Schizosaccharomyces pombe: one gene and its partner. The protein of the gene in region 1 interacts with the protein of each later gene in a pairwise test. Each region holds a gene or a part of one and is shown in the gene's direction. Other genes may lie near its edges. The genes, in order: ell1 and eaf1.

Evidence for each region.
Region 2: the proteins of ell1 (region 1) and eaf1 interact in a two-hybrid assay, tested with the Schizosaccharomyces pombe proteins (2 studies listed by BioGRID).

Annotation. Positions count from the first base shown.
Region 1 is NC_003423.3:2,028,042-2,033,239, reverse strand, and holds ell1 (RNA polymerase II transcription elongation factor Ell1), read left to right. Parts: upstream 1-2,099; 5' UTR 2,100-2,204; coding exon 2,205-2,369; intron 2,370-2,444; coding exon 2,445-2,653; intron 2,654-2,753; coding exon 2,754-3,981; 3' UTR 3,982-4,630; downstream 4,631-5,198. Other genes in the region: origin recognition complex subunit Orc4, read right to left, coding at 4,779-5,198.
Region 2 is NC_003421.2:1,859,663-1,863,695, reverse strand, and holds eaf1 (RNA polymerase II transcription elongation factor Eaf1), read left to right. Parts: upstream 1-1,759; 5' UTR 1,760-1,782; coding exon 1,783-1,867; intron 1,868-1,969; coding exon 1,970-2,061; intron 2,062-2,226; coding exon 2,227-2,313; intron 2,314-2,437; coding exon 2,438-2,929; 3' UTR 2,930-3,229; downstream 3,230-4,033.

The DNA of each region.
Region 1 (5,198 bases):
AGTTGTTTATAGTGCAAAGTCGGTTGCTTACTGCATCACCTTTGAAAACCCCCTTTCTTCAGAGTTAAACTTTTCTCTCATTTATTATCTGTCAAGGTGTATTGCTCGGACACTTCTTATACTGCCTTTGCATTCATTTTTGCTTGCAATTTATCCTCCCGTGATATTCCTTGTCATCTTATTTTTCTATCTCCCTTCTCATTTAGCAGTCTCTTGAAAATCTCTTTTACTTTCTTGCTTTCTTTCTAGCAACTATTCACTTTATCGCTGATTTAGCGGAAACCGCTTACTAACCTACCCATGTTTACAAATGAAACGGATTCGTTCGTGTTGTAAAATTTATCGACATAACTTTGAATGTTACAGAGTTAATCTGAATTCATTCTTCCTTTTTTGTACCTTTTTTCTTGGGCGCTTGCTCGTAATTAGCAACTTGCGTTAAAATTCATGTAGTAGTAAGTCGACTTGATAATGTAGTTATGTAGTTTTATTTTATAAAAATAGATTTTTGCGAATAATCGTCGAGCATTCCGTTCAATTCATTCAATCACTGCGAGGGTTTATCGGGTTAATCTTCTGTAAGGAATATCGGCTTTTATGGAGTTAAAAATTGGTATGAACATTTTCCATTTGCATAAGCGAAAAAAACACGAATGTTTGTTTATTGAAATCGTTCGCACGATAGTGGAAACCAAAACATATATGGCAAAAAGCCTACAGCACCCCGGATTCCCATGTTGTCTCCAACCATAGTACTAACGAGGCCCTCAGACGCTTAACTGCAGTGATCGGACGGGAACTGGTGTTTTCGCCTAGGTATGGCCGTAGACGTTTGTCAAAAAATTTAACAAGATATATAGTGTAAGAAAAGATAAGAGGTATTTTAAATTTTGTTAAAAGCTTCAACATGATTTTTGAAAGAATTTTCAATGAGCACAATAATAAAATAACTGGTAGTACTCGTTTAACTGTGTATATACAAAATATATTTACACAAAAATATATCCGGTCAGGGAGGGACTCGAACCCTCGACCTCACGATTAACAGTCGTGCGCAATAACCAACTATGCTACCCGACCTTGGATGTCTGTAGATATATTTTAAACATATATATCTTCTATGCTTTAAACCTAGTCATTACTTTTGTCTTAATACCAGTTATTCTGAATCATCAAGTATTTCGGAACTTTAGTTATACTATATTTGTATTAGTAACATGAATTTTAAAGGATAGATAATTCCACTCAGAAGAAGACTGTTTCTAGACTATAAATATATTCACTATGTAGTAAACATATGTAAAGATTCAATGAAAAACAAATGGTTCGTTATTCGATTTGAATTAAATGAAATTAACAAATTATCATAAAAACAATCTAAATAATTGCGTAGTTTGATAAACACGAATAACAGGACCAGCAAGTAAAATCAAAAAAAAATCTGTGGTTAATTAAACAGCTTTATATTGGCTCATTTAACCTGATAAATTAATGTACTAAAGACCTTTTTTTTGTTTGAAATTATAAATACCACAGTTCGTCAACAAAAGTGAATTCAATTATGGAATAATTGGCAAAATTTGTAAAGCATCATTGTTTTCAATTCAGTAGAGTTTTCAAGAAGTCATTGATTAAATAAGTCTAAAAGATTCACTAGTTCATCAATAAATTTCTGGTCCCGTAACCCTATTCCGCCGCTTAGAATTTCGAACCTAACGGAAATTTATTTTTTTAGAAAAATATGATTTACTTATATCTAGATAGTAAACTAAGGACGCAAGCTCAAATTTGTTCAGCATCGCTCCCTAATTCTCATTTTTCCACTGTTACTAAAAACTGAACTATGTAAACCAAAGTCCGATATTCATCTCAAAAAATAGTACACTGTCACATATGAGCTAAAAGGACATAAAAAGAAATATTTTTTTACACCAAAGCTGCAACTTGTTTCTTTGAATTTCGAATGTTTACATTATTCTTTCCATTTAGCGATACGCTGCTTATTCCTATTGTACACCACCAATATGTGCTACTTTTTGTTACTTAGCTCTAGCTAGGTTTCATACATAAGGTGCATCTTTATGTTAGTCCACCTTCTTATCCCTTTACCGTACTTACTGGCTTCTTAAACAAGCTTCTCCGTTGTGCCATCTAGCTAATATAATCATTTTGAGAGGCTTTTACTATCGATCTATTTGGGTTGAATGATTAGGAACAGTAGCATTTCTGATGCTCTACCTGTAGCATTAGGCGGAAATGAAGAAGAATCGCCTTTATTGATGCTGGTACAATTACCCAAAGAGTTTCTCGAAGGATATCTTTCAGGAACGATAACAGACGTGAGCTTGGAATGCAGTGATGTTGGTACTGTATGTGTGGGCATTTGTGAAGAGCGATAAAGAAGAATGAATTTTGAATGTTGCTAACCAATATACTTTTTTTAGTCAATATTAGCGAACGATAGGTCTTACAAATGCACTTCCGTTCCAGAAACTGCTCCGCATGAGATTTACAGACTGGTGGACTCGAATTCGTTACAACTGGTTGGCCGTGTCTCACAAAAGCTACAGCTTCGTAGAGAGCTCGACAGTTTAACTGCTGAGCGAGTGAAAAATCGTACGCAGGAAGCTCAAAAGGAAAAAGAAGAAAAAAGGTATGAAAAGAACGACAATAGTATCAACCAATTCTATGGATTGGAAGAAGTTACTTTCAATCTTTCTCTTTTCAAATTATGCTAATATTTGTAAAAATAGAATTGTTACCCTTCAAAATGATGGTGGTTCAAAAAATACAACTGCTAGGAAGCAAAAGCAGTTAAAAAAAAATGGACTCAGGCCTCTCAATACAAGTGCTTCACGAATTGGTCTTTCCTCTTCTCCCACAAATACACCTTCCCCAAACCTTCCCGTCTCGCAACCGTCTGCATCACCACATTATTCTGGTGATAAAAACTCGGCCAAAGGCATTGATCTTCGTACTCGTGTTATCCAACTTTTGGCAATCGCTCCCGAAACTGAAGATTTTCTTCGTTTAAGAACAAAGGCGTCACTTTCCAAATTACAAGCGTTATTACCAGAAGTCGCTTGGAAGAACAACATGAATCAATGGGAGCTCCTTAATCCTGTGTATAAAGATGTACGAGTCTTTGATTGGCGTCCTTATAGTATTGCAGACAGGAATGCCGTTCTAAGTCGTATGTCCAATGCATTCGACAACATGCAATTGCCTCCTGATGCTCCTGAACGTTCACTTTTAGTGTCAAAACAAAAAAACATTACTAAACTCAACAATGAAAAACGAATTCCTCCCCAATTGGCCCAACCCACTTCTCATGTTCCTTCATTCATTGACACTAACTCTCCTTCAATGCCTTCTATTTCCTCGGTTTCTTCTTATCAACAACAACACCGCATACCCAAGCTCAACGCTTCAAACTATTCTCCCTTGCTTTCCCCCTCCTCACACCGAAAAACATCGGGAAATCTTTCTCGTACTGGTTCAGAAAGCTCTGCCGTTTCATTAAGCGATACAACAAACTTAAATACTCCTATCTCCGACATTCCTTCACCTGGCTCTTCCACTACTTGCTCCAATCTTTCATCTCCACATATCAAACGAAAAAGTCGTTCTCCTCCGCAATCCTTGCCTTCCACCCCGTTTCCTACGTCTTCGTCTTCTACCAACGGCACTCTTGAACCCAATGCAAACTCTCCCAAGAAGAATGAACAAGATGCATGGATAGCTAAAAAGCGTCGTCAACAACGTTACACTACAGAAGAAATGCGAGCATTGGCAAAAAGATTTCGGGAAACTTATCCGCGTTATAAGAATTTATATTTAAAAGTCTCTTCATATTATGATAATAATGATACTAATAATCCTAATTTAAACAAGCTCCAAGATGAACTTATATCTCTACATTCTCAGCTCAAAAGCTGGAAAAATACACTTTACGATGCTTCCTCGGAGCTAGCCCTCTAACTTTTCTCAATAAATTTCCGGTTTTCTTAACACTCAGTTTTATTTCCAATGTTTTATAAAGGTGACGGTTATCTCAGCTTCAATTCAAAATTGTTTCAATACTGTACGGTGCCTACAACGAGTGCAGGCTGTTTTTTCCTGCTTTCGTTAAGGCTAGTGTTTCGTTTAAAAGATAAATTGGTTAAATTCATATTCAATTAGCAGTTTATTGAATATTAGTTTGTTTTTGATTTTATAATGAGAATCTTGTTATTGTGATGCTTTTTTTAAACTTTTATGACATATCTTTAAGTTAGTTAAACTGCGTGAATTCCTTATGTGCTATCACTTTTTTTTGGGCTTAAAAGTACCACTGATGAGTCCTTTCGTTTAATCTAATTTATTTTGTTTTTCTTACCACCTTTCATGAAATATTCCGCCAAAATTTTTTTTCTACATTAGTACAAAGTGACCCTGAAACAAAAACTATCATTAAAATGTTTAGGTATTCATTGATCCGTTGATTACTGATTTACCTTCATAAGTCATCTAATATAAATATTTGGAGACCAGCTTCTTTCACAGCTTAACCAGCGCTGATAGCAAAAAAGTAAATTCTATTTTCGTTTATCAGAAGCAAATATTTAATCAATTAAAATTAAAACTTTTATTTATCAAATATCGGTAATAACTACAATGTGTAATGGTATATAACCTTCAACACGGTCGTCCTTATTTTTGCCTTTCTTATATTGTTTTATTTAAAAAGGATACAAAGTTAATAAAATACAACAGAAACAAAAAAAATTGCAATTCTTTTATATAACCTCCTTAAGCCAGCGGTAATAATGCGATGGCAAACGTCGATGTTCACGCAAACCTACAGAAACTACATTGATATCCACTTCTGGCTGCCATAGTTGGCATTGTCTAGAAAGGGCACCACTAACATTAGTAGAAGGGTGAACCGGTATAATCAATCCTATAGACCCTAAAGTTTCCCATGCTTCCAAAGCAACATCCCTTCCCCATAATCGACTGCTATGAGCTAGAGCTCCCGATGCTGCGGCATTTATAACGGAAGATTGATGCAGTTGTCGATATTCTTGATAAGCACTATTAAAGTTGCAAGCTGGAATATCCCTAGCTTCAAAGCGAACTGCACAAATCAATAAAGCCAACTCCAACAAACTTAAATTCTTTACAAGTTCAACCTTATGGTCAGAAACTTTGAGACT
Region 2 (4,033 bases), on another chromosome or scaffold:
GTTTAGTAAAGTTACGGAAAGGAAACAAAAAAAAGTGTATGAGCAAATTAATAGGGAATTTAACCACGCTAGCTAAATAATATATAAGGATACTTTAAAAAAACTTTATATCGCATTACGCTTTAAAGTTGTCTCGTTAAAAAATAGCGATTTTCTGTACACCACGGAAGCGTTGCTTTGCAAATTCGTACGCTTTACGTTATTAACCAAATCGTTGTTGGGTAGAAAAGCGTGAAAATGAAGGGTGGGTAAATAATTTAGTAGAAATGATTTACAATATAAAAAATAAATTTTGATACTGTTAAGCTTCAATGTGCTCCAGCTCCGGCTAATATACCCTCACAAAGACACTAATGAACGATGCCTTGAAATTGCTAGCGCATCGAGGAGCCCTTACTTATAATAAAGCTATGGCGATATCGAAAAAAGTAATCCAAACCCAGGTCTAAAAGCAATTCTTGCTTCTTTCCTTTCACTGTTCGCTCTGGCAAAAAGGTCGTACTGGGAGTCGAACCCAGATCTCGAGAATCAAAATCTCGCGTGCTAACCGCTACACCATACAACCGAGTACGGTAAAGCCGTAGATTATGTTGCTTTACCATAAATGAAAAGTTAATATAATAATCCAAGAGGTAGAGAAATGAGAATGGAATGTTCATGAAAATGTCGTAGACTTTTTCCCCATGCAACTTGGTACATTAATAATACAATAATAAACATAATCTTATTCAAAAAGGCTTTGCTCACAATGCTCATATACCTGCTTACACTAGTCAACTGTTTATACAAGCTCTTCGTAATTAATGTATTAGAAGCTAACTTCGTTAAAAATGTTAAACGTTCATTTCCCGCGATTCGCTATATGGTAAATTTTTTAAAAAGAAATGAGCTGTAGCTAATAAATATCAATGAATGATAGATTGACGCAGCAATAAGAAAAACCATGTATTTTGACTACTGATTTACTAATTTTTAAATCGATCGTGACGTTTTTGTTGTCAATAGCAGCAATAAATCTAACAGTCATCATACTCTGAGAATTTTGCCCTACGACATGCACCTAAAAGACAAGAAACGCAAGTAAATTTTTATAATATTTCAATCATACTGCTGACTGTGCGCAGGTAGTCCTCGAATGTATATATATCTTGTAAATAAAGGATTCATCCTTGTACCGAAATGATATATACTGTACAACCTACAACGTCTTTCTCGGTCGCGCACTGTGTAAGTTCGTTTTTACGAATGCTAAAATAGCTGCTCGCAAATTGGTATAGCAAATTGAGTGTTTATCCATTATCGTTCATTTCTTGTCAGCAATACTACACTACGCTATGATACACTACGTTGCGCATCACTATATGTCATATGTTGGAATACTAGCTAAGATCCGTTTATTGATAATCACGGGTAACTATCCGTCTATATACATAGATACCCGATGATAACAACTATTTAGAAATATTATGAATAGAGTTCCAACTGAACCTCGTTCCTCAGTTCAGTTATGAGCTATATTAGTGATAGGTAACATTATAACCCTGTTAATACAATACCTATTCTCAGTTGCTACTTATACAACCTGTGTAATGTAATATAATAGACCACAAGGAAAACTCACCGCAGTTCTACGTATCCTTAAACCAGATACCAAACTGCGTAGCTTACATTTCTGGGGTTTAAAATTAGAAACCTTGAGCTGTCTTACCTTACGTTATTTATTTGATTTATATCGAAATTTCCAATTTCGTACAGGCCTGACTTTTACCATTATAAACAATCATGAATTCATTACAGAAGGGATCATACAAAGTTATTCCCGGGTCCAGCTTCTCAAAGAATTCAAATGGACTTTTATCTATTAAATGTACGTTGCCCATTTATTTTTAGAGACAGTGTATATCTCTGTTGCAAACTATGAACATCATACTTTCTCCAGGCAGAATACTTATTTCTTTTTTGTTTATAGACAATTTTATACCAGAAAGTGTGGACCCTTCTCGTCGAGGTGTTTTAGAAAAGGCTCAGGAAGCCTATCGTCTACGTCTTCCTTCAACTTTTGTAAGTATTATAAAATTGACTAAGCAAAGTTGGTTTCCCTTTTCTTCCATGAGGAGTAAAAATTTGAAAAAATCATTTTTTTACTTTTTGGTTCCTCAAATTTTGAAACATCAATTTGCTTCTGTTATTGAATCAACGAATGCTAATGTATATCTTCATTGGTAGGATGATGACAGGCCTCATATATTTGAAGGCTCATGCCAACGAGCCAGGAATGTGGACTGTGTACTAATTTTTAACGCTAAAACAAAGGTAAGTTATTGTCCCATATACTATTTTTAAAGAGGTTAAAATCTATGTATGCATGCGTGCATGTGTATGTATAGAACAGGAATCGTTTTCATGTCACTACTACGATACTAACATTAGGCATTAGACATTCACACTGGAGCATATTGATGAGATTGCTCGATTAAATGCTTTACGCAATCCAAAAGTCTCTAAAACTGTACCTTCTAATGCCATCACTCAATCTGATAATTCCCAAATCTCTGAATCCAAATCGACCTCTCAAAGTGCGGTCACGACTAATTCCACGAGACGTAAAGAAAAGGAATTGGAAGCTTCAAAGGATGGAAAAATAAAACCTTCATCGAGCAATACTCGATATCCTGCCATATCTAGCAAGGGACCAATCACCACCGATACCAACGATGAGCCTGACATGGAGGTCATGGAGTTGGATGACTTTGCCAAAGAGTTAGAGCTAGGATTTGATCAGGAATTTAATTCCATAGACGACCCCTCTACAGTATCCCAAACGGCCAGCAAACCAATCTCTTTGAGGGGTCTATCTTCGCAAGAGAGGGATTATGCTTCTTCTGCTCAGGCAGAGGGTATCAGCAGCGCTTCCGAGGATGAGGATTAAGTATGCTTTATGCTGTGTTTCGTATACACTTTCCAAACACGATAATGAGAAAATCTGTTAATGAACGACTTGCAACGAAATTCCAGGGAGTAAAGTAAAGCAAGACAAGTCTTTTCCATCACTACTCGACAGCGAATCGGCGGTAATAAACTCGTTTCACTCTGTGTCATTTTTTTAATTATATACGAACGTGTCTACGCCAAGGGAAAAACATATATCGTTTTAAAATGTTTTCATCTTTTTATATTTCTTTTTATTATTATTAATTCATAATGACTATAAAAAACATGGCTTGTCTTAGCGTTTCATGAGACGGACAATTTTATTCAACCCACGGCAATACCAGAGTAGCAACGTTGGGGTTTTAAATAAACTATAAAAAAAAAAGAAGCTTGACTAGTAAAAAAAAGAATTAGTAAAAGGAGTTAAGAAAAACTAATTGTCTGAACCAGGAAAAAGACAAAAAAAGAGTTTTGACATTCGTTTGTAAATTGCTCAGTAATCAAAGTTGACAGCATTTTGGTTGTCAAGACCATCAGGCTCATTAAATCAGATGATTAAGCATCCTTGCAATCCAACATTTGTCGTTTCAGTTTCCTGCATGCAAAAGACGAGCTTACCTATTTAGTCTGAATATATGAAAATGAAAAGAAGTTACTCAAAGCATTTCCACTAAGGAAAATATATTGTTGTAATTAGAAAAACTAAACTAGAAATCACCATCCAACAGCATCAGTCAGTATAGATAGTGTCAACTAGCGGTGTGTTTTACCAGGTAAACATGTTGGACAAGGAATATAATGAATACGTTGTTTAAGGAAGAACGAAGGTAGAGGTGTGTGTGTATATATAGTGTATGGGGGCATTAGGTAACAATGTTGTCTGTAGTTGAGAGAGTGTAAACAAGGATAGAAGAGAGAAGAGGATTTAAAATAAATAAAAAAATTGAATAAATAAAAAATTTAGAAAAGAATTAATTCATTGATGCAAAAAAGAAAAAAACAAGAAAAACATCCAAGAGAAAAAAAAAAGTTGAGTTGATTCTTTTGATGTTTTCATGACAAATGATTAATCAGCAATATACTTGAAAATATGCAAATTGAA